Coturnix japonica: one gene and its partner. The protein of the gene in region 2 purifies or fractionates together with the protein of the main gene of each other region. This does not show direct contact. Links are inferred from orthologs where the notes say so. Each region holds a gene or a part of one and is shown on either strand. Other genes may lie near its edges. The genes, in order: RBM45 and FAM120A.

Evidence for each region.
Region 1: the proteins of FAM120A (region 2) and RBM45 purify together in Homo sapiens (co-immunoprecipitation; 3 studies listed by BioGRID and IntAct, with this or other methods). This does not show direct contact. The link is inferred for Coturnix japonica from reciprocal best matches to the Homo sapiens genes FAM120A and RBM45.

Annotation. Positions count from the first base shown.
Region 1 is NC_029522.1:13,803,847-13,820,007, forward strand, and holds the start of RBM45 (RNA-binding protein 45), read right to left. Parts: upstream 12,891-16,161; 5' UTR 12,851-12,890; coding exon 12,491-12,850; intron 11,904-12,490; coding exon 11,781-11,903; intron 11,639-11,780; coding exon 11,512-11,638; intron 10,289-11,511; coding exon 10,178-10,288; intron 9,838-10,177; coding exon 9,658-9,837; intron 9,038-9,657; coding exon 8,908-9,037; intron 7,771-8,907; coding exon 7,674-7,770; intron 7,312-7,673; coding exon 7,145-7,311; intron 6,362-7,144; coding exon 6,169-6,361; 3' UTR 6,165-6,168; intron 3,247-6,164; 3' UTR 1-3,246. UniProt on the Homo sapiens protein: RNA-binding protein with binding specificity for poly(C). May play an important role in neural development.
Region 2 is NC_029527.1:4,465,985-4,481,634, reverse strand, and holds part of FAM120A (constitutive coactivator of PPAR-gamma-like protein 1), read left to right. Parts: intron 1-7,255; coding exon 7,256-7,384; intron 7,385-7,858; coding exon 7,859-7,955; intron 7,956-9,024; coding exon 9,025-9,125; intron 9,126-9,390; coding exon 9,391-9,674; intron 9,675-10,982; coding exon 10,983-11,070; intron 11,071-12,304; coding exon 12,305-12,529; intron 12,530-15,183; coding exon 15,184-15,358; intron 15,359-15,650. UniProt on the Homo sapiens protein: Component of the oxidative stress-induced survival signaling. May regulate the activation of SRC family protein kinases. May act as a scaffolding protein enabling SRC family protein kinases to phosphorylate and activate PI3-kinase.

The DNA of each region.
Region 1 (16,161 bases), on a different chromosome or scaffold from region 2:
TGGGCTCTGCTCCCATTTTAGGTACTCGAGTAGAACCTCGCTACCACCAAAGGAAAAGGTCTCAGGCAGAAGACCCAGTGGAGGAAACTAATTGCAGTCAGACTGTCAAAACAGCTCTCTTGAGAACAGCTTTGTTTCAATTAACGATCAGATATACTTTAATGTAGACATCGTGGCAACATAAATTAGTATCTTTCTACAGTTACAAGCAAAAGGCACTCCTGCAGACCATGCAGGTAAGATTCAGCAAATGGACAAAATTTCCAGTGGATATCATTGAGTGTAATTGCTGAAGGACCAAATGCCCTGTTAAATGCTGGCAGAAACTACAGCTGGTGAACACTGCTGAAATCCAAGTCATTTACAGATAAGCATGAAAAATTTTACTTACCATTACTGTGCTATTACTGCAAAAGAGCCCCCCCAAAATTATGCAGTTCTTGCCAATTCAATAACCACCAGCAAAAGCGATATAGATTATACAGTTTCTTTTTCCAGTACCTAAAGCTTATGCTCTCAGCAGACAGAATTATCATTTTCTGATGAAAAGGCCTGGAAAAGCAACGTGACAGCTACTTAGTGGCAGTGCTACAAAACAGTTGAAACAGGGAATAATGAATATCATATCCAACCCAAAGTGCTGGCTGAGATTCCCACTACTTCAACATTATGCATGCACCTACATTACATGCACATCACTATGCTGTGCTTTAAAACATCCTCTCAAACACTACTTAGTTCCTAATCAGCTGCACTGAGCAAAGAAAAACACATTCCTGCAATTTACATCCAAGCTTTCTATTTGGGTAGCAGAAAAGAGCAAAAGTCTTGTGAAGCAAAAAGTTCAGTTTCAGTGCCTGTGTAGCAGCACAAATAGTTAGTTCAAGTTTGTAAAAAAATAAAATAAAAGCAAAAAATAAGCCACTGGACCTTCTGCACATGTACTGCAAAGATTTCTACACTGGCACAGAACATCACCACTTGCTTATTCCTGATGCAAAGATGCACTGCATGACGCGCATTCAGCAGCATGCCAGAGCTGCTGTATCAACAGGACAGAATGACTGTCATATCTGCACAGCAGAACTGATGCTCTCCAAAAATACTGACCTTACTGCATTCACACACACAGCATAGTTAAGTCTGTAAAGATACTGCTCGACAATTCCAGAGTTTTAGACGTATAGCATCCTGGTCAGCACTGCTCCCCTGAGGAAACCCAAGAAAGCTCCACATCTACTCAAATGGAAGGAAAAGGAAAAAGAAACAAAAATGCAGGAGTTTTCCAAAGGAACCCCAGCAAAATGGTAGCTGAACCAATTGCAACAACAGCTCTCATTCTTACCTACCATCCCTAAGGTAAAAATATTGGTACTCTTAACACATGTTTTAAAAAGAAAAGGTTTGACATGCCTGCATCTTGCATAAGAGAACAACTCGCAAAACACTTGAAAATAGCACAGCATAGAAACTGTTTTGCACTGTCTAAGTATGAATTGCATTAATCCTACAGTAGGTCCACTCACATTACTCTACTAGAAAGCTAATCAAGAGGACTTGGTCATTATTGTTACGGCAGTATTTCAAGACCGCTGACTGTGAAACAGCAAATGATGAAGTTGTATGTTTTGAGTAAGCACATTTTTCCAGCTAAAAATACCGTATCAAACTCTTCTGCATCTCACACCCTTGTGTTCCCCTTCAAGCAACCTCCTGCCTGGAAAGAATTTTTATGGGTATATGCCTTTTAATACTGTAAAACAGCAGAGAAAGATTTAAAAAGGATTTAGTCCTCAGCTCAGTTGGAGATATTTACCAACACCTTAATTCCTCCTGCTCTTTGAAGAACAAAGGAAACAAGAAAAGGAGGCTATCTACCACAGGTAGAAGCATAACTTAAGACACAAAAATATCACTTAAAAGACAGCATGCTTCTGCACACTGGCTATTTGAATTGGGAGGGTCAGGGGCCTGGAGCACGACATAGAAGGCTGGAAAAGTTTCTTGTCAGCAACTATTCTTGTCTTGGAAAGAATAAGGGGGACTGAGAAGGCAGCAAGGAGTCCATAAAGGGTAAAATGATACTAAAGCTCAGAGAGCTACATGGAAACAAATGCCAAATTCATCCCAGGAACATCAGTCATGGAACTACATTCTCACCTACCTGTGGGGTGGTGACTTTTTGGAAGGACATCTTTCTGAAAGTGCTCAAAGACAGAGGAAGTTGTGGATGCTCAGCTATTTATCCCCACTTAAGGATCAAGGGATCAGCACTGGAGGAGTTGGAAGCCAGGTACAAAGAGCGTGCTTGTACAGCAGTGTGCATGCAGTTAGAATTTCAGTTTTATCTGTGAACATTTAATAACCAACATTTTTCAATTCAACAAATAACATTCAGGAAGTATTTGTATTTGACAATCATCTTTGCAAATACTTATTCAAATTATCTTCGTTTACTCTTTAGCAGTGCTCAAATCATCTTCATCTTGCTGAAATACTAAACTGTTATTCAATTAACCAGTTCTTCAACAATGTACTCTTTGGAAGCTTCTTAAGAAAAACTGGGAAAGAAAACTCCCAGACTCCATTTTTCTGTAGTTACAATGATAGAACCTCAAGAAAATGATAAATGCAAGCAGCTTTGATAGCTTGACCCACAGTCAAATGCCCTTTACGCTAAATAGCACATAAAGCATAACGAATACTTTTGGCTCAAGTCAGTGAAATATTCAAGAGTGTACTTGAATCACTTTCATGAGTATGGCTTTTCTATCAAATCTGACTTAATACTCTCAAATATGCTAGTAGTTTTCGAAATAGTTCTTTCGCTTTCTTTCAATTTACTGCTTTACTTCAATGCATTCTGGTCACTGGAAGTGCCTTCAGAATAGCATAGTTACAATTTGATTCACTATCAATTAACCAGGTCAAGCCACAAAAACCTGACTCTCATCACTGCATTTTCCATGTTTGTGGAGCTTAGTTTAGCACGAGATATTTATTTCTGGAATACAAGAAAACAGGATTCTACATGAACAATCGTCAGTATACAATTTCAAAACTGCTGGATTCTTTTATAACTGCATGTTCACACTTCTTAAAAACAGAAAGCACGACATCAACAGAGCAACAATGCAAAAGGAAAGGGAAAAAAAAAAAGGAAAAAAGGATGTCACTGTCCCCAGGAACCATGTCTAGTCACGTTTCAGTCAGTCAGTCAGTCGAGGGTCATGTCACTATTTAGTTCTGCAGAAAAAAACACAAGTACAAAAAAAGTATCAAAAAGCAACATACCTATTGGCTTTACAACAGCGTAAGTGATAAGGGCTCTTAACACATTCAGAAGAATAACATTAAGCATCACACATTTGTCCTTTTGTTGTTGTTTTTTTTCCTTAAGAAAAAGTCTCATTCTGAACATTGCATGAAAGTCAGCAATTTTTCTACAGTACACAGCTGATAAATAGTACTTGAAAAATTATTAATTTGGTGTATCTCTCAACTTTCATATAATTCCTATTTTAAAATATTTTTGCACAGCAGCAAATCATCATGCGAACATTAAATTTGAAGGGTTTTTTTGAGAAAGATTTAAGAAATAAAAACAAATTCAAGTCAATTCAGGGATTCGTGATAAGAGGCATCTTCTGAATTCTTAATTTTTGTTTATTAACATTTTCTGCAACAGTAAGAAGGCTGCCAAGTACTCCTTTCACTTATCTCAGTAACCTTCACCAATAACCAAACCCTTACTGAATTTGCAAACCTGCAGAATCGTTGTTACGCTTTTTATGTTAGCAGCATTAGGAAAATTAGAGGGTAAGATGACAATTTAGTTTCAGTAATTAAAAAAAACTACCCTAAGAAAAAACAGGAGAGTAGAGCTATTAATTTGATACCCCACCCACTATTAATACAGTGGACAGAGTAGCTTCTGCAGCCAGTGAAAGTCCACTGTTTTGGAGTAATAACCAAAGCTTTCCACCCTGTACTCACTTTTTGTCTGTGACATCTATGACAGACTCTCATCCATTCTTTGTATTGCAGTACAGTATAAAACACCAAGTTCATTGACATTTTAAAGCAGAAAGCACCATTACGCATTCAGTTTCAGATTTTAAACACCCCAAACCACAAAAATAAATAGTGTTAGACTGGAATCAAGACACAATCCTCCTTGATTTTTCCCCATATAGTCATCTGACAGACAGTCCCCATTAAAAAGAGCCAGGTCTTTATTTCTACTTTGTGAAAACAGAATCACAGAGTCGTAAGGGTTGGAAGGGACCTCCAAAGATCATCAAGTCCAACCCCCCTGCCAAAGCAGGCTCCCTACATCAGGTGAATACATCTGGCATCAGCTTCCTGCCACAGGATCCTATATATTCCCACCAAAAAAAAAAAAAAAAGTAATTAAAAAACACACTTCTTCTCTTTGCTTACTTGAGCATATTCATAGATTAAGACTGATCCATGTCTTCAGACTCAATCCTTCTAAACTGAGATTTTAGACTATAAATAATTATTTGGTCTGTCTTCTTATCATTCAGTCAGATAACCTTTACAACACAAACAGCAATACTTTCTCAAAACACGAACATTCCCTCCTCCTACATCCAGAAATTTCTCACTAAACCCAAGAATTCTCAACTCTTAACTTCTTTGCATAGTAAGCAGTTAACCCGAAAACACTAAAATCACTTTCACACACTACTTTACAGAAAGCAAATCTTACAAGTAACAGACAGTATCTATCATCTTCACTCAGGAAACAACTGCAGCCTGCAATTATTATTATTATTATTATTTTTTAGAGGAATTAACATTTTCTGAGGTTTACTACTAATTTTGGATGTTTATCATAACTATTCTTCTATTCTATAAAGTAGTTTTCCTCCAGTCAAAACAGAATTGATACGACATTGCACTTCAAATCATAGCTTCCCCTGTAGTGACAGAAAGGTTTGGTCCTTTATTACTAGAAGTTTAAAGAAAAAAAAAATAATAATCACATTTAAGAAAGAAGAACTTAGTGAATAAAGATAAAAACATGGGTATGAGTTACATTCACTGGACCTGCCAATTTTTAAGCTTCAAAAGAGTTTTAGCTCCAATTCCATGCAGACATATTTAGTTTTTGTTTTGTTTCTTTTTAAGTTGTACATGAAGAGTATTAAGACCTTTAGAAACCGACGCTTATCAAAAGAGAAACATGGGACTCCCTAGGAAAAGAGGGAGAACCATACAGGTGAAATCTTTTTCTGGCCTTTCTAACTCCCAGGTCACAGAACACACCTACACATTGCAGTGACAAGGTGTGACACTAAGTAAAACACCAATGTGAAGACAGTTAGGATTTCAAGTGATGTTTTTAGAATGAGAAAGGGAAGGAAGAAAAAGAAACAACTGGATTTCTTTTGTTTTCTCCCCAACAGTAGAAAACCAGCTACTGAAATGATTCAGAACCATACCCATAATGGGTATTAAAGTAATATTTACATTTGAATCAAACCAACATTTCCTAAGAACAAGTGAGCTTTGGTTGCAAACCTCCATATATGAGCTCTGACACTGTTTATTGGCCATATAATTAACTAAAATATTTAAACTTCATATTTTAAATATACACCTCCACCACCACACATTCCAGCTGCATCTGATATTTGAGAGTCCAGATTACCCAAATTACTGAAGCCTTGCCTTTTTGGTCTTGCTTTGTGACATTTACACCCCTTCCTTCATCTGTCCTTTCCAGGGACAAACTCTGCATCTTTATCAAACATCATGCTCAAGGCACGTGTATGTAATGAAAGGAAGACACACGCAAGCTGGTCTCAGTTACAACGTTTATTTTTCCAATACTCTTTCAGTCAGACCTGATACTTTTATGTACATTAAGTGAATGTTTCAATGAACATCCAGACTGTTAATCATTTCATATTTGTAGAAACATTAAAAAAATAAAGATTTCTTTGCTAAAATAAAAGTGCATGTATAAGCATATACACACCCATACATTATACACACACACAAACCATATAACCCCACCCCCCAATTAAGTTAAATTTATTTTTAGCTATCAACAAAATTTCAAAACTCTTTGCTTCCAACTATTTCAAATAGCTGAACTTCAGCTTAAGCAACCACTCCAACTGGGTACTCACCTACTTAGTAGGTTCTCTGACGTTTGTTAGATTCCTCTGTGGGGGAGTCTGCCAACCTTACTTTAAGTCTGACACCATTCACAATCTTGCCGTGTAACGCAGTTATGGCTTCACTGGCACTTGCTCTGTCGGCAAATTTTGCATAGGCCACATTTTTCCCAGCCACAAGGTAAACTTTTATTAAATTTCCAAAACGGCTGAAAAAAATAACAGCAACAAAGGAGAGAGTTGACAGGTTTTGCTGCAGCACTGACACTTATCATCTAATCCCAGCTCAACAAAATTCAGTAGCTGCAAATTCTATGTTTTCGCACATACACCTTAATATCTTGTGTTATCCTCCTTGAAAAGTCCTAGTTTTCATTCCCTATTCTAGAATTCTGCACAAGAATAGAAATAAGCCCAGGGGTCTGTAAGGAAATGTCTTCTACAGAATACTGCAATAGAAGCACAAGTATTACATATTCCTTTAGGATCACTAAAGCTATTCCATGAAATAGTCACACACAGTAAATACTAAACGAGTAAAAAACACCCCCCCCCCCCACCACCAAAAGAAAAACACCAGACAATTGCAAAGGCATTTGAGGCAATTCATTCACATCGCATTTAAATGAACTTGTTCAGCTGTGATTCATCTTCAAAAAGGTTGTGCTGAAATGACTCACAAAGCAAAAGCTAAAGCCTCACAGAAAATCTAAATCCTCAGGAGATTCCTAGACAGTACCTTAACAAGTTTGAAGTCTATTTCATTCATATTCAAGTTATGTAAGTACCAAGACTAGAAAATCCAGTACATAAAATAAAGTACACCTTAGAATTCTAACAGAAGTGCATATTGTTTCATTCCTACTATTTTTAATTGTTGTGGTTTTTTGTTGTTGTTCGGTTTTTTTTTTGTTGTTGTTGTTTTAATTTCCAGCATTTATTTTCATTATTCCACAGTTCAGGAAAACACTTATCAATATAAGAAGCCTTACCAGAAAACATCCTCCAATACAGTCACAGGTAAGGGATGAGGATGAAAAAGTACAAAAAGCCTTTCCTTCACAGAAGTGTCAGGTGGAACTTTTTTTTTGGGTGGTGGAAGTATAGCATCGGTTTGGGGCTGAAGTAACGGTGAGCCAGAGGTTCCTCCAAATGCCTGCTGAAACAGGAGAAGTAACTCAACTATAAGTCAATTTTTATGAGAAAAATAGTATCATTTCATCTAATTCAGATGAGACAGGCTTATTCAGACACAGCCTCTAACAGTTAACTTGAATTTTAATTACTTAGTTTACTTCACCTACTTCATTAGACGGAATAACACATTCCAATAAGGTAGACATTCAAAGAGAATGAGAAAGAGAACCAAAAAACAACCCACCCACACCAACCAGTTATTTCTCAAAGACGTAGCACCTAAAGCTATTACAAAAGAAAGCAGGCTGTGCTCTTTACTGACACATCTGGAGTTTCTTAATTCAAAGTCAACAACTACCAACAGCATCCATCACATGAACTTACAGGAGGTGTCCTATACTGCTGAACAACTGCGTTATTATTTCGCAGCACTGAGGTCATATGTGCTGTTACCAGTTGTGTTGCCATTTTTCTGATGAGGCTGCAAGAAGCGATAACAGGCTGTTTTAAAGCAAGAACTACATTACAGTTAACTTCAGCAAGAAGAAAATATAAACCTTCCTAGATACACAGGAAGATTAAAAAATAATAATAAAACTCACTTGAGTCTACATAATTAGAAGAGGCTTGCATGACACTCTAAACTCAATCTGAAAGCAAACATCCTACCTGAAACTCACTGAAAATACTCAGAGCAACAAAACTCCCTTGGCTTTTCCCAATATTATAACAAAAAAGAAGCACTAACTCAACACAACCCTTAACTTCATGTGAAAGGCTCCAAGGTGGCAAAAGAGACAGAAGTTTCTCTTGTTTCTTAAAAGAAAGAAAAGCACAAGGATTCAATTCAGAACATTAACACAGGAACTTCATTTCCAACTCTCATTCTTCAGTATTCTTTCCTTTGTTCTGCTTGGGGATAAGAATAGCAATTGCACATTTGCACAGATTCACAGCCTAGGTTTTAAGGCCACAAAAGACAACCTTTGCAAAAAGGATATTTGCAATGAATTATTTTTTTTAAGCTTAGATCAGGCATAACACTTCTGCAGTGAATCTTCCCATCGTGGTTTTGCACAGTATTGTTTTTTTGTACATCAGAACAGCTTTGAGGTCTCAAATAGCTTGATTTCTTCCCTGAGGGAATCGAAAGTATTCACTACAGGAAAGCATGTAGTTTACTTGCAGCTTCAAACCATATCTGAATGCTGGTAGAAGTAAAACCTGGCAACCCATATACAAGTGGAAGAATCAGATCCTCAGCTTTATTCTGCCCATGTGTTTCACACGGCTGTCTGCAGCATTGCAAACACTGCCAGCAGATCAAATAAGCAACATCTGATTTTAATATAAAGCCTCAAACACATTAGAAACACATTCCATATTACAGGGGACTTTAAGGATTCTTGCCAAATATCCTATCATGTCTTAGGAATATATGTTAACCTTTCTTCAAATTCAAGATACTCATTCTAAACTTCAAAAAAATAAAGAAAAAAAAACTCACATCAAGTGTGAAACTAATTTAGTAACACTGCTGCTACTTTTTATTGTTAAACAGTAATAGTTTCATTCTCCAGAACACAACTTACCAAATTTTCTATGTATTGATACTTACTCTGAACTATCATTCCCATCTTCTAGAAAAATGACGGTTAATCTGTTTCCAGGAGGATACTCAAACCCATGTAGCTTATACTTGGCATATATAGCTGATGCAGCTGTACTATACTGAATCACAGCATAACCTACAAATACAACACACATGGTTCCTGTGCTTTACAAGCAATTCTTAAGAACAAGGTACACTTACATAGAGAAGTAGGATCAAACTACATAGATGCTCCAGAATTCTTGGTCTCTTTACATTAGTTTCAGTACTTTCCTTACTAGCAACATTAATATTTGTGAAATAAACTTCTGTGAAATTAACTAGTGACAAATCAGTTGTGCTTGTATCAATTTGAAAAGCTGATAATACAGCAGCATAAGACATGTCTTCTTGCCTAACCCTCAGTCAGAGGGATCATCTTAAAACACACTTATTCCAACTGTAGTACTGTAAAGTTACAATGTAGTTGAATCATTTCCACTTCACACCTCACAGTGCTCCTTAATGTTTTTTTCATCTATAGAAAAATAAGAATACTGAAACCAGAAAATTCTTTCAATACAAAAGAAGTTTCGTTTTGTAATGATTTCATTCCATTTACTCACTCATTTACACACACACCACTGACACAAAAAAAAGCCAATTATTTCTAGTAACTACTGTATTTTGCAGTACAAATGAACTGAGGTACAATTTAATTAAAAAAAAAAATAGTTCTCTTCATAGAAGAAAGAACACTTTTGTAGTTTTTCTTACCATTATTAGTATGAGGATCACGCTGAACATCACAATACTCCAGGCCTGGGATCAGATCAAAGAGGGCAAACAGCTGTTCTTGGATAAAAGGAAGTCGTGATACCACTGACAGACGTTTGGAGACTGACTCCTGAATTCTGGTCTCATTTTTTTCAAAACTACAGAACTCTGGCTGAGCACCTCAAGAATCAACACAAAAATAAACAATTAAACTCATTATATTAACTATGCCTTCAATTCATATATAGTTTTCATTCAAATTTTAGAAGCAATCTAAGCGAATTATACACCATAAGTGATACGTGTATTTCCTGAATGCAGGTCTTGAAATAATCAGTCTACTAGACCAAAGTATGTCATAAGAATATGGGAGAGAAAAGCCCAAGTCATTTCTAATTCAAACATCCCATCTGCGCTGTCAAACTCGGCTTCCTTTAGACTGCCTTCTTCCAAACAGCCCTTAGATTGTGATTAGACTGCAAATAATTTTCAGTAAAAAAAAAAACAAACTGTGACTTACAAAATGGAAATACATTTCCTCTTGGTTCTTGCCTTACGTTATTGCTATAATATTCATGTTCAAAAGATTCGGATGACTTGTTTTTTGGTTCAGCCAAGATGGCTCGGTAGCCTGAAAGAAACCATCACACATGTGAGCCTGCTTACTCTGAGACTGACCATACACCAGTACCTAAAAAGACCGGGGCATGTCCTTGTGAATAACCTAACTGATATTCAAAGCCATTTGGCTGTGCTTCCAAACAAGACAAACTCCAGAAGTCCCCTCCAACCTCAACCATATTTGGCAGGACTTGGAGATGCTCCAGAGGGAATCAGCTGAACTTCCACAGAATTATAACAGTCACTCCTGTGAGTGCTCTGTGCTGATCTATGATCTGTTTATCAATCGATTAGGCATTAACTCTTAGGCCACCTAATCCATTTCATTTCAAACTCAAATCAGAAAGGAAATAAAATTTAACTACTAATAAATATCACTCATTTTTGTGAGTATTCTTGCATAGGGATAACAATTGTTCAGAACTCCTTATGATACATCAAGCATATTACTTAAACAAAAATGAGAAAAAAAAACCCACACAACAAAAAGAATAAAACAGTGACAAGAAACCTAAATCTACATGCCGAAGTGTTTAATATTGAGTAAGTGAAGGAGGTTGGACTGGAAAACTGCTGACAGGTTTCTCCAAAAGCCTCTCTTCTACTGGCTGAGCAGGCCCAGTCCCTGAGCCCTCTCCTCACAGGTCATGCACTTTACCAGTCATTAGAGAATGGATATATTCCAATTCCTTAACAACTATTTGGTACCGGGGCATACATGGCAAATGGTTGATCATGAAGTGGACAAAGACTTAGTTTCTACAATACATTCATCCTGATATTAAATGGAAGGGGGGAGGAGGGGGAGGGAAAAACACTTAAATTACCTAAGAGCAAATGAACAAATTTAGGTTAAATGTAAACCTAACAGAATCCTTATGGATTATCAAATGCATTATTACATATATAATATATAGTTGATTAAAAACATATTCCCATATATTCTTAAAAATGATGATGTCCTGCGTATGAAGTCCAAATGAGAATACCACCTAATTTAAGACAAACACTATCAGCTTCTACACTCTTTTCACTGATCTTCCTTCCACAGGCTGGTGATGCAAGAACATTATTGGGTGAATATTAGGAATACCCCTTTTATTTGCAACACAACTTTTGTCTCAAGATGTGTTTACACCATAAATAATTTACATGCAAACAAAAATAAAAATTAAAGGTATGATGGCACACATTTATCATGAAAAATATTAATGAGTTCATTGAGATTCTTACTTCGATCACACTCCTCAATTGCTCGGGCAGCTTGCGATGGTTTCAAGTACCTCACGTAGCCCAAACCTTTGCTTTCTCCAGTAGTCTTGTTTTTAATGATGCTGCAATATTCAATGTCTCCATACATCTAGAACGATTAAGAAATGTATTAATTCACAATATTTTAAAAGACATTAAAGTTCTATGATTTAAGCTCTTTTGAAAAAAAAAAAAAAAGAAGGAAAAAAAAAAAGCTAATTTAAAATCCTTAGCAAACAGTGAATCAGCACCTTAAACTTCTCTCTCAGGTCTTCCTCTGTATAGGTCTTTGGTATCATAACAAAGATTCGTGTAAGCTCCTCATCTTCAACATCTCGGTGGCTTCCAGAAGCTCTTGACTGTGCAATAAATACCTAACAAAAACTACATAAGCATTAATTACTGGAAGAAGAGTCCTAGCCATATGCCAAGTTAGTTTTTTAAGCAAATCTTTGTATTCCTCATCCACATTATATAGTTTTCCTAGTAAGTAAAATAACATGTCACAGATGCAACTGCAACAGAAGACCTGTAAGAACAGTACACTCAAAGTGGTTTCTGAAGCAGGACAGAAGGCAGCACAAGACCCCATAAGGATAACGCAGCATGGCGAGGAATATTAAAGCCTGTTCCAGTGACACAGAGGGCATCTGCTCTAATGCAGTTGGGTAGCCCTGGTAGGACAGTATTAACAAGAAAGAAAAAAAGTGCATTTCTCCCACAGTAAGGTGCACAGAAACTTCTTTCAACGTTCAAAGTCATTCACACTTTATAGTTACCTGAGGAATACAAAAACAATTCAAGAGGCTGAAACCTACCATCAAGTTCCATAGATTTAAAAATGCAAGAAGCTCGTACACGAGATACAAAACCCATGCAAAGCACTCTTGTAAAGAAAGTTCTATTTGGGTGCGGCCCTCCCCCCATGCCGCGATGGATGCGCTTCTCAGCCCGGCCGTACCTTGATGGGTTTGGTGTCGGGGACCAGGCTACGGCCGTGCATCTCCTCCATAGCCCGGCAGGCCTGCGAGCTGCGGGCGAACTTGATGAAGGCGATGCCTCGGGACTCGTTGGTGCGCTTGTCCCGCAGCAGCCAGATGTTCTGGATGTCCCCGAACGGGGCGAAACGCTCCCGAATCAGCGCCTCGCCCGCGTCCTTACCCAGCACCACGAAAACGCGGCTGTTGGGCGGCTCGTCCAGGCACTCGGCCGGCAGCCGGATCCCGCTGCTCTCCTCCATGGCGGCCGTAGAGGAGCGCTGGTTCTGCTCGGGGCTGGGCGAACAGCCGCCGCTCGGCTCCTTCCGCCGGGGAGACAACATGGCCGCGCCACGTCCCTACGTGTACGGCTGGGACAGCGCGCAGAGCCGCACCGCCTGCTGGATAGGAGGGCGGAGGGATTAGTCCCGCCCCTCGGGTCTGCTAAAATCCAATCAGAGAAAAGGCGAGGAGATCTCTCCGTGAGAGGACTTGTCTATAATATCATTCCATTATTGTTATTTTTCTTTTACGTAGTGCAAAATGGGTGATGTTGAAAAAGGCAAGAAGATCTTTATTCAGAGATGTCCTCAGTGCCACACAGTTGAAAAAGGTGGAAAGCACGAGACAGGACCAAATCTTTGGGGTTTTATTTGGCTGCAGAACAGGACAAGTGCAGGATTTCCCTACTCAGAGGCAAACAAGAAGAAAGGTGAAGCAACGTGACACGAGGTGCTGCATGGAACATACATGGGTAAAGAAAACAAGTTTTCCTTACATACAACACTGAGGCTCATTCACAGTGAGTTACTCTCATAGCATCTGCTTTGCGTAAACGTAAAATGAATCTAAACTGCAATTTCAGAAGCAAAATTACTCAGCCTATAAATTACAAAGAAATTTTGCCACTATTTATTACGCCAGGTCAGCTTTCCCAGAACTGTGCAGTATCTATGGGCAAATTTTCATTTCTGTTAAGGACGCTTCTGGATTTTGTTTGCTCGTCACCACCCTCTACTGACACTGTGGTGTGCTGCATTTGTTTTACTCTGCAATACTTGACTAAACACCATCACCTACCAGTAAGCAATGACTCGCCTCGTGTATTTTAGTACAGTCTTGAAAGGCAACATAACAGCTACAAATGGAAAATAAGTCTGTGTATTCTTTTTCAGGTTTTCCTTTTGAATGGATATTATTTTGATCTAAACCATGTTCAAATGAAGTAATTACAAACAGTAAAAAGTCCTAAGGATAGGAACATTAGAACGAAATTCTAAAAGAAAACCAACCAAATGATATCTGAGTCAATTGTGCATAAGTGTGAGCAGATCATTATCATCAGGTACTTCAGTAGTCTCCTGTACAACAGCAGGCTTCTGCTGATGGGCAGAACTTAGCAAGGTTGAAAGGAAAAATTAATGCTTTTTCAAATTCTCTTGCGACAATCCAGGAGTGGACATTGGTAACTTTTTCTAAGGTCCTTTCGCAGACCACAACTTTCATTAAAACAACAATCTATATACACTCTGTGTACACTCATTTGCAGTTTGGCCATCTAAATACTGAAATGATAAAGATATTTACATAGTTCAAAGGAACTATGTTCACCTGGAGTGAGAGCGCACCGATGGAGTATTGGAAAACCCTAAGAAATACATTCCTGGTAAAAAAACTATTTTTGCTGGAATTAAAAAGCAGAATGAAAGAGCTGATCTTATTACATACTTGAAAAATGCAACTTGTTTGTGAACCGTTGCTGCTGTAGCTGTAATGACAATGAAAAAAACATTCTGAATTTTGATGGGCTGCTATGTCAAGTTTTAGTGTTTTGATAGTGTTTTGATAGTTATTGTTCATTAGGGCCTTAAAATCAAATAAAAGCATGGTTCAAGGTGCTGTATCCTCATAAACAGCTTCAAGAGGTGAGTATTACTTAGACTGTGTCATGTTTTTCATACATCCTTATGGAGTATGCCACAGAAAATACTGTTCCTTTCCCTAAGCAGAGAGCACACTTCTCCAACTAGTTATTCAAAGACCCACTGAAACTGTTGCTATTTGGTTACAGCTAAGCAAACAAGAAGGCCCCATATTACGCTGGACAACTAAATAAAGTTTTTCTTTTGGAGAAGGTTTTCTTTTTGCTCACTGCATTGTCACTGTTCCTTCATGTATTAAAATGGTATAATAATCTACCAGTCATCTTTCAGAGTTGTGGATTTTTTTCTCCACTTGATGCTAATATATTGAGGTTTCCTCTAACATGTAGAATGACTGAGGGCTGACCAACTTTAGCAACTGAAATTAGTAATAATATTTTCACTAACTGTGGGTTGTTGATGAAAGTGATTACACTCCTGCTAAAACCACACGAACTCTCCTTTAACACTTGAATCAAGATTTACAGTGTAATTATCTGTTTACACAAATGATGTTAAAATGATTTTAATGTATCCCACTCCAGCAAGGTTTCCTTACGTCATCACGAAAAGGAGCATTGGTACAAAATTAATTTGCTGTCTTATCTGTACCCAGGTACTCATCAGTATTGTTCCAGTGTATTCCAACTAGGGGTTTCAATTCACTGTCTTAAAGAGCTCCAAAGCAGTGAATTTAGCAAAGGCAGTAAGTGATAAAACATTCTATGACGCAAGCACGTGAGTACCTGCTTTACTTTCCTTGTGTCCTGTAGCTATAAAATACATTCCACTTTCAAGTATAATATTTAGGACTTGTGCTGTTGACTGTTTATAGTCAATTAAAGTAAAGCATCTGCCTGAATGACAAAAGTTTCCACGGGTACTTTCCTCCATTGCATTTTGAAGAGTGCTGTGCCCCTCCCTGCTTTTCTCAATAGAGAAATAGACTGACAAATGCACTGATGCTTCTGCTTGTCGTTCTGTTAAAGCATCTTTGTAAGGTGCTTTAACCTTTGTACATTAGGAGACCAGGCTACAAAGCTGTCATGCTGTCAGAGTTAGCATCATCAATCCATACCAACAACCAGTGCACCATACATGACATGCACCAGCTGTATGCTGTCTGTAGTTCACTGCAGCATACCCATAGAACTATAATAGTGCACAACAAAACTATGGAGCTGATGAAATCCATGTGCGTTTTTGTCTCTCCCAATTAAAGCTGTAGTTTATCTATCTATCTATCTATCTATCTATCTATCTATCTATCTATCTATCTATCTCAGGCCCACACACGAAGCTGCAGCCCAGAGTACCGTGTGCTCAGTGTACTCACGCTGCAAACAGAGGCATCCAGACATGTGCCAGGCTGCAGGCAAACCCAAATTATCTCCTTATATCCACTGAAACAACAGGTCAGGCTTCTAAGGAGGGCTTTTCTGCAACAATTCACTGAATAGCCTAGAGAAATGCTTTATGCCTGAACTTACAGAAACACTGCATTGCCTTGTGTCCACACGCAGAACTGCTGCACAGTACCCATTTTGTATTAAAGCACTGGTATGAGTGCTACTGCACTGAGATGGCAAAAAACTGTTTACACACAATCATTTCAACCGTATGGAGATGCCTAAAGGGCCTCTGCTGAGAGATCGAGGTGCGTGCCTGCCAGGCGCTCAGCAGCTTAAAGCTGTTTCTTTGCGCAGGCGGCATGTTTGTGCCAGCGCTGCAAA
Region 2 (15,650 bases):
GTCATGACAGTTAATCAGAGCAGCGTAATAGATTAATACTTGAAGTGTTTTGCTAGTACAATAAAGACCAAGGGGAGGCTTATTCAGAAAGGCTCAGGTTAGCCTGCATGGCTCACACAGATTTTTGAGTCACTGCAGCTATGCAAAGCTCTTGTTCTCAGTCACTCTCTGGTGTTCCTATCTGTTGACTGCAGATGATACCTGGGGTGATTAGCCTTACCAGGCTAAACTTAGCCTTTGTGATCTCCCTCAGTGCCCTTCAGCTATGTGAGCTGTACTCCCAGTTGTTTCACTATGTGGTTTCACTTAGAGATGTAGCTTCTCTCTATTTATTTATTATTTTTTAGAGAGTTTTTTACTCTAGTCATGTTCTTCAACCATCAAAAATAATTAGCAGGGTATCTTCCTACTAAATTATATTCAGCTAATCCAAGTTTGTGTGTCAGTTAACTGTACCTGTCAAATTAAGGTGTAAAATATACTGGTGTTGGTTGTGCAAGAAAATCAGTGTGATCTGACTTCAGTAGGTTTTTTGTTGGTTTTTTTTTTCTGAGGAGAGTAGCTTGTCTGATGCTCTTAGTTTACAGTATGTCTGTTCTGCTGCTTCATCAAACCTGCTTTGTGCATCTGCCAAGAAGCTATAAGAGGGAATGTGGACACACTGGAGGATGGAGTAATAGTGATCTTTCTTTCTCTCTTCCACAGCAGACATATCTTTTCCTCCCAAAGTGTTCTATGTAACAAATGAATGTGCTTTTTGTAAGTGCTATAAGCCTTTTTCCTTGACGCTCCTAATGTTTCTTGAGCACTGAAAAAAATTAAACTTATTTTGCTCAAGGTAGAACTTAAAAACAGATTGAAGATGTTTAGCAGAATTTTTAAGGTTTTCACATGCATTGCTGAGCAAACAGCCGTGACAGTTTGATTTTACACTCATCCCCTTTTTTGTTCCTGCTCCTGGTTTTAGGAAGGTGAGTGTCAGCACATTGTAATCATAAAACAGTGCGAACAGGCATGTTTGCCACAACCTTCCGATATTTGAGGTGAAAAAATGAAAGAACGAAGGATTGGTCCTGTATTGTTTTTGGTTAGGATGGGTAAAGTGTAGGACTTCTCTCATGGTGCTTGATAAAACTTTCAGCTGTGTAGGGTACTTTCCTGAGTTTCAGGCAGAGTAGATCTATATTGTAGGAGGACTGGAGTATGATTTCAGAGATCTTTTGAAAACCCTTCTAAATGCTTACCGAGTTACACTACCAGAATGCAAATTAGACTTTGTCATCTTTGTTTTTGCATTTACATTTTCAGTGAAAGCACCAATTGAGTTTTTTACCTGACATCCTAAGGAAATGAAATTTGTTTCCTTAGAGATCATTGGGCTGATTTGGGCAATCCTCCCTTTGTTTAGTCTCTTGACCAATGATAATCAGATTTGAAGGCAGTTCCCATCTGGCTGTTGAAAGCTCTGTGAAAACTGATACACTATTATTGATGAAAAAGACCCAAATTATTGCTCTTGCTGATGGGGAAAAAGCTAGCACAACACATTGCTTCATTTCACAGCAGCTGGCTGGTCAATTATTAAATGCATAGTCCAAACGAGCTGCAGCATTACTGTCTCCTGACTGATAACCATGTCAGAAGAGTCAAAGAGGCTGGGCTGAGGCAGAAGGGACACCAGTCTTCCATTAGTTACCGGTCATGAAACAGCTTGGTTTTTTAGCTCCAGTTTCAACTGTACCTCATGGTTTGAAATGATAACTTGCTTCAGTAGTTCTTCATTGAATTTTATTTCATATGATGTATATGTGATGTCACTACATCTATCTGTGAAGATAGCTTTTGTTAATTGCAGATGTGCAGAAAACAACACTGCTTCTAAATTTTATGGATGTTCAATAAAACTTGAGGCATGTTTATGTCAACCATAAGTTAAAGAGCAAGAAGTAATTTCAGTACAGTTAAAAAATCACAGGCTGTCATAAAAGTTCGAAGGAGGTAGGAGTTAGGCCCTATATGATAAAATTTTGCTTTTTTGCCTCTATTTAGAGTTTCTGTTAAGAATTTTCCAAACATGGGGCTCTTATTCCACACCTCATTCGGCTCATTTAGTATTTAAAAATCTTACTGTTGCATAAATATTTTAATCTTTTATATCTAAGTATGATCGTGAGCATCGGTGCTAACAGTTACAGTTCCTAGTGCTTGATCAGTTGCTTGTCAGTGAGATCTATGACAGACTGTGACATACAATTTATTTTCATTCCTTCTCAGACTTTTATTATGATGAGACAGAATGGTTACTCTTCCTAAAAGAGAAGCTTTACTAGTTCACCAAGTGTGACGTGGAATAAAATGACCAGTCTTCACTGGTGGAAAATTGGCTTGTCTGGCAGAGAGTGGAAATGAACCTAAGTGTGACATGGCAGCATCTGTACCTGCCTGTTATTAGGCTCCAACAGCAGCAACTGTGAAATTCTACTGACAAACTTAAATGAGATTACTTGAAATTGAAATGAGAAGAGTCGTTAGAATTCCTGAGCAAGAACTTGGCTGCGAGGCCTGGTCTGGAATTGTAGCATTGTACTGTGTTTTATTTGTGTGCTTCAGGATTTATTTTGAGAGATCTAGAAAAAAAAATTGCTTCCCATTCTGGAAAGCTTGCTGCGGGCTGGAGCTTCAAAGTCAATCTATTTTTGCAACAGAGTTGAATTATGAGGGACAGTTCTCATCTCTAGAATGAGTTGGTGTTGATCTGGAAGAGCATAGCGTCAAAGAAATGCAAACTTGTATATACAAGGGAAAGGTAATCTTAGAAACAAGCCTTGGCTAACTTGCCTCATTGGAGGAAGAAGAATATGCAGTGAAACTATGTGAGGTGGATGTCTTCATTTGTGATGGATTATCTTCCTGTTAGGATGGATTTGAAAGGATGGATTTGCTGAACTCTTCGGCAAGTCCTTGATATGCCCACCATACAATTTATCAAATCTATTTTTACCCAGCAAAAATATCTGTCTAATCTCCTTGGCTGCTCAGTGGAGGGACAAAAAGAGATGTTTCCAGAAGACAATCCAGAAATATGCAGGTTAGACTGCTTCTGTGAATTGCTCCGGGTTCTTGTCTTTCTCCGTTGACTTCAGAGGATGTCTGCCAGAGGGAGACTAGTAAGCAAAGTAGGTGCTTGAAGTGCTACAGATTAGATGCTACTTTTAAAATATGGTTAAAGGGTTCTCATGCTGAACATGAAGGATCATCACAGTGGTGAGTCAGGCTGGAAAGGGCCTTGAGAGGTCATCCAGTCCAAACTCCTGCTCAAAACATGGTCAATTTGAGGTCAGAACGGGTTGCTCAGTGCTTTACCTAGACTTGCCTTGAATACCTCTGTGGTTGGAGATTGCCCAACTTGTCTGGGCAGCCTGTTCCATAGTCTGACAATCCCCATGGGAAGAATGTTTTTTCCTGGCATGTGAGCTTGACCCATCTTGTGTCTGTCTGTACCTTTTATCTGTTGTCCTTCTGCAGTGCATGCATCGTCTGGCTCCATGCTTTTGATAAGCTTTTAGTGGGTATTGGAAGGCTGCTCCAAGGTACCCCCAAAGCTTTGCCTCTGCCAGGCTCAGTAAGCCTCAGTCCCTCAGCCTCTTCCGATAGACCAAGCTCTCCAATTCCTTCACAGTCTTTATGGCTTTCAACTGAGCTTGCTCAGCTTTCTTGACCTCTCCCTCATACTGAGAGCCCAAAGCTGAATGCTCTGTTGGGGAGGTGATACAGTGAGCTCCCAAGACTGGTCAGCTAGCTGTATTCTTGGGATGCCGGCCTGGTGCCAGCTGGCCTCTCCTCTCTGCCTTGCTGACTCACCTTTGGCTCGTCTCAGGCTTTCACAGTGCAGCTCCAGCTTGCATAGTGACCAGGTGCAGTGCTTGCTTTTGTACTTGTTGATTTGCTTAAGATTCCTGGTGGCCTGTTCCACTCGCTTGTCTAGGTCTTCCTGGATGGTAGCCCAGGCCTCAAGCTCATGCTGCTGTTTAGGAATGTCATGCAGATCCTCTTATACCCTATGTGTCTGTGTCATCCCTTGAGTTTATGCTTGCGCTCTTCCCTTGTATGTAACTTTCACAGGCCAAGACAAGATGCAAACAGTTTGCACGGGATCTCGGTAGAAATTACTACACAAAAATAAGAAAACACAGATAACTTGCGTTCCTCAGGTCTTCAGCCTTTTCTCTTACCTATGTATAAAATGTTCCCTGTGCATCACCTCACAATAACTAAGCAGTCAAAGTCACTTTTTTCAGTGGTTTGAAAATAAATGTGAAATGATAATATGTTTCCAGCAGGCACAACAGTAAGCGCTGGTACTAGTGTTGATTAGCCTTTAAAGGCTTTGTGGCCAGGAGATGGTGGCAGCTCTTGTTTTTCCAAGCGTAGCTTAAGTGCTTCCTCCAGTATCCTAATAATCCAGTGGAGTTCCACATATGTGAGCCTTTTTCCTTCTGATAACGTAGTTTAGCAAGTTGGTTTTTGTCAAATCCAAGGCTTTTTAAAAAGATGTTATCTTTAAGTGCAGCTGACAGCAAGTCTGAATCATTAACAGGTTTCCTGTAACCTGCCTAATAAATGCTGAAGATTTATCTTACATTTTAATTCACACATGATTAGAAACTCATTTCTGATCCAGTGCAAAACTGAAATTTTGGGTTGCTGGAAAGTTGTAACATGAAATCTTAATAACAGGAAAGTTGATCTCATTTCTCCGCTTCTCTGTTTTGGCTTCTGTGGGAGCTCACAGGACATTTCATTTTGAAGGTGTTCTCACTTATGGGCCAGGAATCTTCTGAAACAAAGGCAAAGAAAAACCAGATGTCTGAAATGTCTCAGAACCTGTAGTGCTGTAAATCTGTACTTCAAGAAGGTCTCACATCAGGAGTTAAGAGTGTGCCCCACTGCAGTCCTCAGGCTGTTGGTTTAAGAGCAGCTGTGGTACGCATAGTAAGCCTTAATTCGTCTCACTTGAGCTTTGGACCTGCACGGTCTGAGCTGAGTGTCTCAGTATCTTCTCTTGATACTGTTTAATGTTTTAAGAATATTACTATCTTGGAAATGACATCAACCTGAAGATACTGCTTATTCTCTTTGCCCTCTGAATTTTGAAGCAGACGTTGCAGGAACACTTAGGCAGTAAAGTGGGATTTCTCCAAGGTGCTCTGCAGAGAGCACATCTAACATGACACAGCCATGTTGTGATTCAGCTGCATTAGAAATGTGCTGTTGTTATGTGTACAAATAAAATGGTAGGTGTTCCTAAAACAGCTTAGATTAGAGAAGCTATTTCTTCTGTTTGCAGATTGGAGCAGAATTCCCTTATCAATCAGTATTTTTACCTGTAAGCTTATGTGTGAATGCGATCTGTGTTTGGGATTGTTCTGTACATTCAGATTGCATGCTGCTGGAAATTTAAATTTACTGTCTGCAAAAATAAAAAGAATAATTAAAATAGCTGCTGTGCCACTGACTAAACTAAATCTGACTGTTCTTTATTCAGGCTTAGAAAATGTAGGGCTCATCCCAGGCAGAGAATGCCCAGATAGAGAATGAATATCTTGACACTTCTAGACATGAGGGGAGGAAAATTAATACGAATGGGAATCTGAGCAAAATTTCCATGGTCTAAATATTAAAGATGTGTAAGAGTGCATAATAAATGATCCAACACAGGCAGAGGAGAGAAAGTAATGTGGTAGACTGCATATGAAATAAAGAGGACTTGTGGATTTCAAGTTGCAGAGTGAAACCTAGTGAAGTGTTAATAGGAGTTTTGCATAAACGTTTCTGACAAGGCTGAATTGCAGTGTTTTTAGTAAAGTATGGTTCCTCTGTAGAACACAAGCATAAGGATTTTTTGCCTTTTCTGGTATCTAAAAACTAGAACTCTTAAGCAATAATTGTGACCTTTCAGATCTTGAGTCGCCGATACATTTGAAGTGGGCAGTTAAAAGTTAAAAACCTGGCTGCCCGTGGAGCTACTGATAGAGTGCTCCGGAATTGTACGAGGTTCCAGACAGACATCTTAACAAGCTCCTTAGGCATTCCCTGAAATGTAGGGCATGCAGTCAGAGCTGAGGCCTTTCTTCTGCCCGCATTGTGCAGAGCAGTGGGAAGGCAGCAACCTTCCTGCAGCGAGCAGCTCTTGAGACGCAGCTCTAGCACAGCTCCCAGCTTCTCAATTCACAGTGGGCTGTGGTGGTTGCTTGTCCTGAACTTCCCGTTCGGGATCATGCAGTACATATGAGAGAGGTAATTCCCATGATCATATGCTGAATAATCCTCAGACTATTTTCAGGATGCTAGATATAGAGGAGCCTATTGACAGAGTTGAGATGGAAGGCCACGGTTTCCAGGGCTATCCGGTTTCCTTCCTTTCTCCATGTGAACACTGGAAGGGTTCAGGCCGAAGATCTGAGTCTAAAACTTTCTGGCACAGCAGCGGAGCCATCTGCAGTTGTCAGCTGCTGAACTGTGGGAGCTGCAGCGGCTTTGGAAGTCATCCCATAAAGTTCTTCCAGCTCTTTCTTCTTACTACAAACAGAGTTCTTGTGCTGTAACATCCAGAGCGATTCTTATCTTCTCAAACCCGTGGCCTGAGTCGGTGACCAGTGAATTAATGGGAATTCATTATTTTCCTAAGGTCTTGAGTAGGCTGTACTCTGGGTTCTGTAGACAGAAATATGTATGGTCTGGAGTGTCATAAGCTTGAGGGAGATTTTTAGCACACTTTTACTTGCATGTTTCTTGTGCAGTCAGAACAATTAGTCAGACACACCTGACATCTGAGGATAGAACATTAATTATTTTCATTCTCTCTATATAAAATGCATACGTTTATATTATTAAAGAATTTTTTTTTAGAGGAAATGTCCAGCTGGAAAACAGTGTAATAATTAGCGTTCTTGACCTTGCCTGTTGTTGGATCAGGTACTTAAGCAGCAAATATTTACATAGAGTTGAGGTTTCTATTACATACATGTAGATGCATATGTACATGTATATACTGTAGATGTGAAATACACAAGTCATCATTTAACTTGAAGTTTTGAAAGCAAGGTGCAAAGCCCCAAAATGTTTAGTTCCTAAATCTGTCAACGTAGACTTTGTTCAATATATTTTCAGTAGACAGTTGGGTTAATTCTTTACTGTGTAAGTGAAGGATCTTGGGCTACCCTGTTATCTCATGTCAACGTGTTTATTTTCATAGGTACGTGCTCACCAGTTAGTTTTACCACCTTGTGACGTAGTGATCAAAGCTGTAGCTGACTACGTCCGTAATATTCAGGACACCACTGATTTGGATGCCATAGCAAAAGACGTTTTTCAGCACTCACAGGTAAAGTATGAAGAAAATATTGTTTGTTTGTTTGTTTTAAACAATTGCGCCTTATATTCGCATTGCACAATTGCATTCAGTAAAAGTAAGGTCTTGAATCAGGAGATACGGGAATCTGTTGTTGTATGCAGTGTCGTAGGTACCCTAATGTAATTGTCTGCTTTTTTGAAAGAAAAAATTATTACACATAGTCACAGTGCTTTGAAGTTTAGTTCTTGATAACCAAAGAGGTTTTGTAGTCTGGCTTTGTGTATGTGAAGATATGTAGTGTTTTTCAAGCTTTATCCTTACAGGGGCTGACGTAGTGTTTTTGGTGAGGGTGAGTCTCTGTGGCTCCATAGGCATTAATGCTGTATGTGATAAATCACATATAGTTGACCGTAGTTGACTACTCTGCAGTGCTGTGCTTACCTGTAGATGCCATGCCTGGATCTGATCCTGATAGATATTTCTTTTTGTATTTATTTATTTTAGTCTAGAACAGATGACAAAGTTACTCGATTTAAGAGAGCAGTTGCTTATTACTCAGCAACTAATAAACCTATGCCATTTCATCCACCACATTACATAGGTAAGTAATTAAGAAAATAAAACTTCTCACTTTAACTAAAACCTGATGTAACCCAAAGTTATTGTTGTAATAACCCTCCTTTATTATTAGGGTCTTATAAAAACATACACTCAGGCAATATTCATTAACATTAGAGTACAATGTTACAGAAAAAGTTCTTTGCAGTGGTTGTTCTCTTCTACTAGAAAGAGTAACAACCTAAACTTACTTTCCTCTTTAGCTGTTGCTGAGTCAGGGCTAAGCATTAGGTAGCATCAGAATGTAGTGCTGGCAATGAGTGAAAAGCAGTGTCTACTTCCAGTCATGAAGACAATTTCTTTTCCACAATACATTTCATACTCCTCACTGAACATACCTGATGTTTTTTATAGATCCTTTCCAAGCCTTAGGTTTATTTTGATGTCCTAACACATGTGCTTAAGCTATAGAGACTAATTGATACCTATCTCAGGTTGTTCCAAGGTTTACAAACTAACCTTGTGACCATAGCACTTAGCACATATACCTCATTCTTAACATTAAAATCTTAATTGGAGCTGGAATTTTCCAAAGATTTTGTTTCTGTACTGGTATGCTATTACTTTTGTGGGTTTTTTGGTCTTTTTTTTTAAGCTTTCAAAAAGTTACAGTGAAAAGTGTATTAAGGCTATGCTAGATCCAATATTCAAGTGATAGAATGTGCTGGTATTACGTGTATTTATGACGTTGTTTTTTGCCAGCTGCTTGCTTATCACATCTCTTGGGCTTTTTTTCTTCAAAGCTTCCTTTTGTTTCCAGGTAGAATAAAATTATTGTGCAGTAGGGAGAGAGGAAAACAGTTGAGAGGATGTGAGGCAGGTAAAACAGACTTCACAAGCTACAGAATATTTCTATTACGAGTTAAAAAATGAATGAAATTCACTTAAGGATTCACATAGTGGAGAACTGCTAACAGAACAAGAAAAAATAAACCATGAAAGCAAAAGGAAAAAAAAAACGGTAAAAACTGTGTCAAATAAATAGTGAGCGTTTTCATGAGTGGTTTTCTTTTCCTCCTGTTTGTTATTTCTCCTCCCCATTTGCAATGCAGCAGCCAGACCAAATCAGTTTGGAATGCCTGGGATAGTGCCACCATATGTTCCTTCTCAGATGCTTAACATTCCACAGACCTCACTACAAGCAAAACCTGTGGTAAGTGTATCTCTCTGCCCTTCTCCTTGAGAGAAACCTATCATGCTCATTGAATTAAAATCTAGGTGGGAAAGGCTATGTCTCACTTTTTTAGCCTGTGTGTTCACTGATTACATTTTCAACGTGGAGCTATAAAGATGAATGCCCAAGGTGGATGAGATTTCATGTGCACATTAGAATAAATAATATATGCTTTTGTTTTTGGTTTTCTTTTTGAAGTGAATCCTTATAGTTACCTTTATTTATAAACATTGCTGTATTTTAGGCCCAGCAGATGTCCAATCAGGGTGGTGCCCAAGGTCAGGGTCCGTACCCGTACAGTCTCTCTGAGCCAGCCATCACCTTGGAAACAGGTGGAAAAAATCTTTCTGAGCAGAACAACTACAGTAACATTCCTCATGAAGGAAAACATACACCATTGTATGAACGATCTTCTCCAATAAATCCAGCTCAGAGTGGGAGCCCTAATCATGTGGATTCAACCTATTTTCCTGCTTCTTCTACATCATCCTCCTCCGACAACGATGAAGGCAATGGAGGTGCAGTGAAGTAAGTTGTTCACAAGGATGTTTTTCTGCTCTTATTTTCAAAATCGTTCAGTATCCTGAAAGTAACCAAACCTGCTTATTAACGATGTGATAGGCTGTCAGAAAACAGTGTTAGGTCACTATGACTGTGAATATATCCATGGTTCACTCTTGTCGCCTTGTTCCTTAATGAGCAGGAATCCAAAACCAAATAACGTTCAGTATTTTTCCACTTCTGGTCTTATGTTTTATTGAAAGAAGGAAGGAGTGAGATTTTGATAAATGTCATAAAACCTCCCCGTTCTTTTCTTTGTATCAAAGAAATACTGCCTCACATGCAGTTCATTAAAATTTCTGTAGCTAAGAACTGGTTTGCACTTCCAATATTTTGGGGTAGTGTGGTTTTGCAGAGACACTTGATGTGAGTGTCAGAAAGCTGAGATGCTGTGACTTAAGAGCTCTCATTGACAGGCTATGTATATAACTATGCTGCAGTGAAATTGGTTTTGTTCTCCTACTAATGCGCTTTGTTTACCGCAGAAGTGTTTTAAGACTTCCACTAGATCGTATGTCTGTCCTTGGCAATAAAGTTGTGCAGACTTCCTTGTAATTACTGCTTACTGACCTACAAAAAGGAAACGTGAACAGAGGCAGTTTGTGTTCACCTTTTGTCTTGCTGGGTGTAGTAGCTTACAATGTGAGAATCAAAACCTGTGGCTTTAGCAGGTCTGTGATAGCCTCTGAAGGATTGTGTGTCATAGTATAAATACGCTTCTACTTGATACTGAATTCTGAACATATCTACAGTTACAGTGGTTTGGACTTGGTTTTTCTGATGCAGTCTGTCAACTTTAAGTACGTTATCATGTGTTTTGCAGTGCGGAACTGGAAAATTACCCCCTTTACACACATATAAAGTATTTTTCAGTGTTTTTTCTTATAGTACAGTTTTATGGAATACATTTTGAATTAATTTGGAAATGGAAGTCTAGGCATTATCACTGTTTGCAGTCTTCTGACCAAGGGAAATTACTTGGCATGGTGACAGGTATTTCAGGATCAATCAAGAATATTTCCTGCACGAACATTATTTAGTCATTGTAAAGGATTCCCTGTTACTTTGAAATATGATCCAAGTATTGTTATAGTGTAAATGAATAAAAGTAGGGATCTTGAAGGAACTTAGATATCTATGAATTGACGTTTTCTAATACGCAGCGTGCCTTAAAGTCCTCTCTGGTTAATTGTTGGATTAACAGCAACCAAGGGTTCATTGCATCTTAACTGGTACTTTAATGCTGTTTTTTTTTTTTTTTATGCTATCCTTCAGCCATGTCAGTGGGAACAAAATCGGCTGGGAAAAAACAGGAACCCAGTCAGAAAGTCAAACACGTGGAGACCTGGGAGACCAAACAAAGGTAATTCCTTCGGAACAATGGAGTTCCATTCGTGTCACATAACCTACATTGTAGTGAGGGCAGCTCTAACACAGTATTTAAGCATTAGCTATGGGCTATTATGGGTGTATTAAAGCTCAGATGAAGAGTGGAAGTCCTTTACAAGTGCTTGCTAAGACTTGCACTTAATGTGTTGAATAACTCCATGGGACTAGCTACAATGTATTGCTATTTAATTAAGTGAAGGTGGGATGATTAAACCATTATTAAAGACTTAACATTATCTGATTTATTTATTTTCTTCCAGATACAAAATCATTGTCAAATGAAAAGCGTGATGATCTGTTTCATGACTTTGAGCTGTTCTTAGAATGTTGTGATCATTTGCATGCAGTACTTGTGCATTTTTGTGATGGAGCTGTGCTCCAGCCATTGCTTTTGTTTCAAAAACAATTAAATAAATCAAAGCAAAGAAGAAAACAATCCTAAATAACTTGTGCTGTGGAAGAACAAAGCATTTTCCCTGTACCTTTCGTATAGAAATTCCAGTAAATTTTGGCTTCGTGCTTAAAATATCAAGCTGATGATTTCATCCATCGGTGCTTATTATTTTTGCAGACTACGCCCCGCACGATAACTGTATCTGCCTGTGGATTAGTCACCATATGCAAATGCTAATGTGACCTATTGCATTCCTTTCTTGTCTGTGCCATGGCCATGCACAGAGCCCGGCACACCCAGGCTGCAGCCCTATGTGCACAGTGCTGCCCTGCAGAGCAGATATGGGGGCGGCTGGCAGGGCACTGCTCCCCCAGCTGGGTGATGGCCGGGTGGGACGTGCTGCAGGGCACAGCTGCCTGCCTCTTTGTACATGCAGAATTAGGGCTGTGTAAGCAGTGATTCAACTTTCCCGGAGATGTATGCATGCAGTCCGACTTGAGTGCAACCAATTTAATTTGTTTTACTTACATGCTTTTCTTGAATATCAAACCACTTCTTCAGCCCTCAGTAGCAGAAGGCAGTTCCATCTCTTGAGTACACACTACAATGCATTCTGTACCACAAGCTTTAACCATTTATTCTATATACTATCACTTTCCTAAATTGAAAGTCTGGTCTACCAACTCCAAAATATAGTCTTATAGTAACGTCCTCTTTTATTGTGTGCTTAAATGTACTCTTAAAATACTATTTCCCCATTGGCTGATCTTCTGTATGCATTAAAAAGCGCTTGATGTTGTGTGTTCTGTTATAGGCAGAAGGTTCCTCTAGTGCTTCTTCAGGAAGTCAGGCAGCCGATGTCAAAGGGAATCAAACCAGTAATCCACAGATCCCATGCCTGTTGTCAATGCCCACCAGAAACCACATGGATATTACTACCCCTCCATTACCTCCAGTAGCACCTGAAGTATTAAGAGTGGCAGAACACAGGCACAAGAAGGGGTTAATGTATCCCTACATCTTTCATGTCCTAACCAAGGTATGACATTTTAAAACTATGTGCTATAAAATAACCTTTTGGTAAAGATAATTGCACTTATGTATCTGGCTAAATAATTTTGTACTTTTACATCCTGTTTTAAGTTTTGAGTTTTGGTCTGATTTTAGTGTTTCTAGCACTTTTTTCACTTGATTTTTAACCACTGATCTGGGCTGACATATTGTTGCTGTAGGTATGAGGTGACTGTTACTACTGTTTATTTTAAAAAGACAAACAAACCAACTTCTTTTGACTTTAGTATTTTATTTTGATACTTTTACATACCCATGTTTGTGCGTGTGTGTATGTATTAATTGCCCATTTCTAGAGTGTGACATGTGCTTTGGTGTTTCAGTATTAAACAGTAATTAGATTGTTTTCCCTCATAATATAATCCTTCCTGTCCTTAGTAGCCAACCCCAATAAAGACACAGCATCTGTGATAAATCCCTTTTGTTGAATCATAAAATGCAATTGTAGAACTTGATGATGCTATGAGTTCTTTGGTCACTGATTTATTTTATGTACAATTCTTGAGATCCCAGGTAAGCTGCAAGCACTTCCACACAGCTTAGGCCGCTTTCTCTGCAGTATGTTGGGTTTGGGGGGGGTGGGAAGAAGAAAAAAGTCTTAAATCCGTGGCCACATAGGAACATCTTGAAAAGCAATGGGACAGCTTCTTGCCAAAGTAAGTAGTGGAAGGAATCACAGCAGTGGAGCAGCTGTGTTCTGCACAGCCCTGTGTTTGACTTACTTGAGTTCCAAAAGAGATGAGTTCTCCTCATTGTTCCTTCTGAGTGCAAACAGAAGAGTCCCAGAAGAAAACAATGAATCCTCTTCCACTGTAGTGTTCGAAGCATTTAGTACCGGTTCCTGTACGTCTGGCCCATTCACTGTACATACTTGTACAGCAGAAGGGCACTGTCCACACTGCTGGTCATTTGCATTAGTCTTAAAAAATCCATTTCAGGCCAATAAGGACAGTAGACTGGAATTTGAAATGCACAGAAGGAAAGGTTTGGGTTTCCTTCTATTGCTGTCATGTTCTTGTACTTCCCATGTTTATCAAAGAAAAGTGCAACAAGGGAACTGTGAAGACCATTGCAGCTCTGTTTCAGAGTTTGTATAGCCGTAAACTCTTAGTACATTTAAATACTGCTGGACGTTTCCTGTCTCAAAATGAGAAGAAACTAATTAAACACCTGAATGTTGGGAATTTTCTCCTAGCAGAAAAAAGAAATGAATCTAGAGACTGTCACAATATAAATCAAATGAATCAGTACTGCTTTTTGGTTTTATTCATCTACTACCTGAAATGTTTTTTAATATTTCACTGGCGGACCTCAAGTGTGCCAGAAAAAATGTTGACAGGTTCCTCCTTGAACGGTTTTGAGATGCTTTAGAAATTGGCACACAAAGATGTTCTGTGTTATGCTGTTGTTAAACATATAGAGAAACTTTTCACACATCCTTTATAGCTAACTTAGTGTTGTCTGTATACAAGATAAACTCTTTTTTGTAGTAATTCAACCATATATCTAATAGTGCAGATAAAATAGAGATCTTTATGTAACCTAAAGTGATACAAAAAGGTCGAAGCATGCTAGTAACTTCTGTGTAAATATACACCTACAGCTGTTTACAGCTTCCACCAGTTTATGCATTTTATCTGGCTTATGTTGATTATAAAGGCTTTTGAGCATACAGAGTGCTGTAGTGCTTCCCTGTATCTCATCCCTTTACTGGAGAGTTTATTTGGGAATATCATCAATGTAAGAACAACACTAAAGGAAGCCACATTGATGGTGAAAAGGATGAGGTTTGTTCTTAAGAGAAGTTTCTTGTTGAGGTCACTGATGCCAGAAAAAAAGAGAATGTTGAGTAAGCTTTTAAAGGTATTGATTCTTGACACCTTTACCAATAGGAATGAGTAGTTTTCCAAGAAAAACTGAGCATAGTTGGATGCACATATACTGAAAATACAGAACATTGCTGCTATTTTAAGAGAGCTGGAAGGTCTTTTCATGTTTTGTTTCTGAAAAAGAAAGCATAAAATGCTTTACCCGCATCTAAAGCAACATTACTTACACAATCCCCAGTTGCAGTTGTTTGGCCAGGCCTTCTCTTAATGTTATTTTTCACACTGAATCCCCCCCCAGTACTGTTTCAGATCCTTGCACCAAACCTTCCAACTGGTGTTTTTAGGCAGCGTGAATATTTTTTTAATGACTATGTTCAATCTAGGCTGATTTTTAGCATTTAATGTTCAAATGTGCTCTGAGTGTCTTACTTCTATAGGCACGTTACGTTATTGTCATACATACTGTTTTGGTCCCAGAAGTATCTGTATGTAAAAATCAGTATTTAGATAATCCAAACAAAAAGAACAAGTGTGTGGTGGGGAAAAAAAAACTGCATAAGTGATGGGAATAATCAGAGCTCAGAGATTTACTGGCAGAAAGGAAGTAGATTGCAACAGGGTAATCCTTGTCTGGAGTTACCTTCACATGCATAAGATCCGTATTATTGCTGAATCGCGTCCTTGACAAGGTGGGATTTGCTTTAGAGCTTGATTGAGTTACTGAGCATACCTAAATACTTCATTTTTGCTCACTCTAACGTGTCATGTTTTTCTGATTTCTTTCATGGAAAAGGGTGAAATCAAAATTGCCGTTTCTATAGAAGATGAAGCCAACAAAGACCTGCCTCCTGCTGCTCTGCTTTATAGGCCAGTTCGTCAGTATGTTTACGGAGTCCTGTTTAGTTTGGCAGAAAGCAGAAAGAAAACGGAAAGACTCGCTTTTAGAAAGAACAGACTTCCACCAGAATGTATGTACTGTAGAATCCATTCTTTATTGCTCTTCCCCTCTGCTATGTTTCCCTTTGTACTGTAATTTGAATGAGAATAGTTAATAAGGTTTCATGAATGTAGCTATAGAACTGGGGGAATTTGTGGCTTATTTGATCCGTGGATAATAGAAGATGTTTTGAATTTGAGATGTTGTCTCTTGAAGCTTAAGAACTTTAAGCACTACCCTTTTCTAAGCAAGTTCCGGGGTTTGTTTTTTAGTGTGTTCAAGCTGCTCTCAGGCTTGAAGCAAATAATGTTATTTGATGGAAT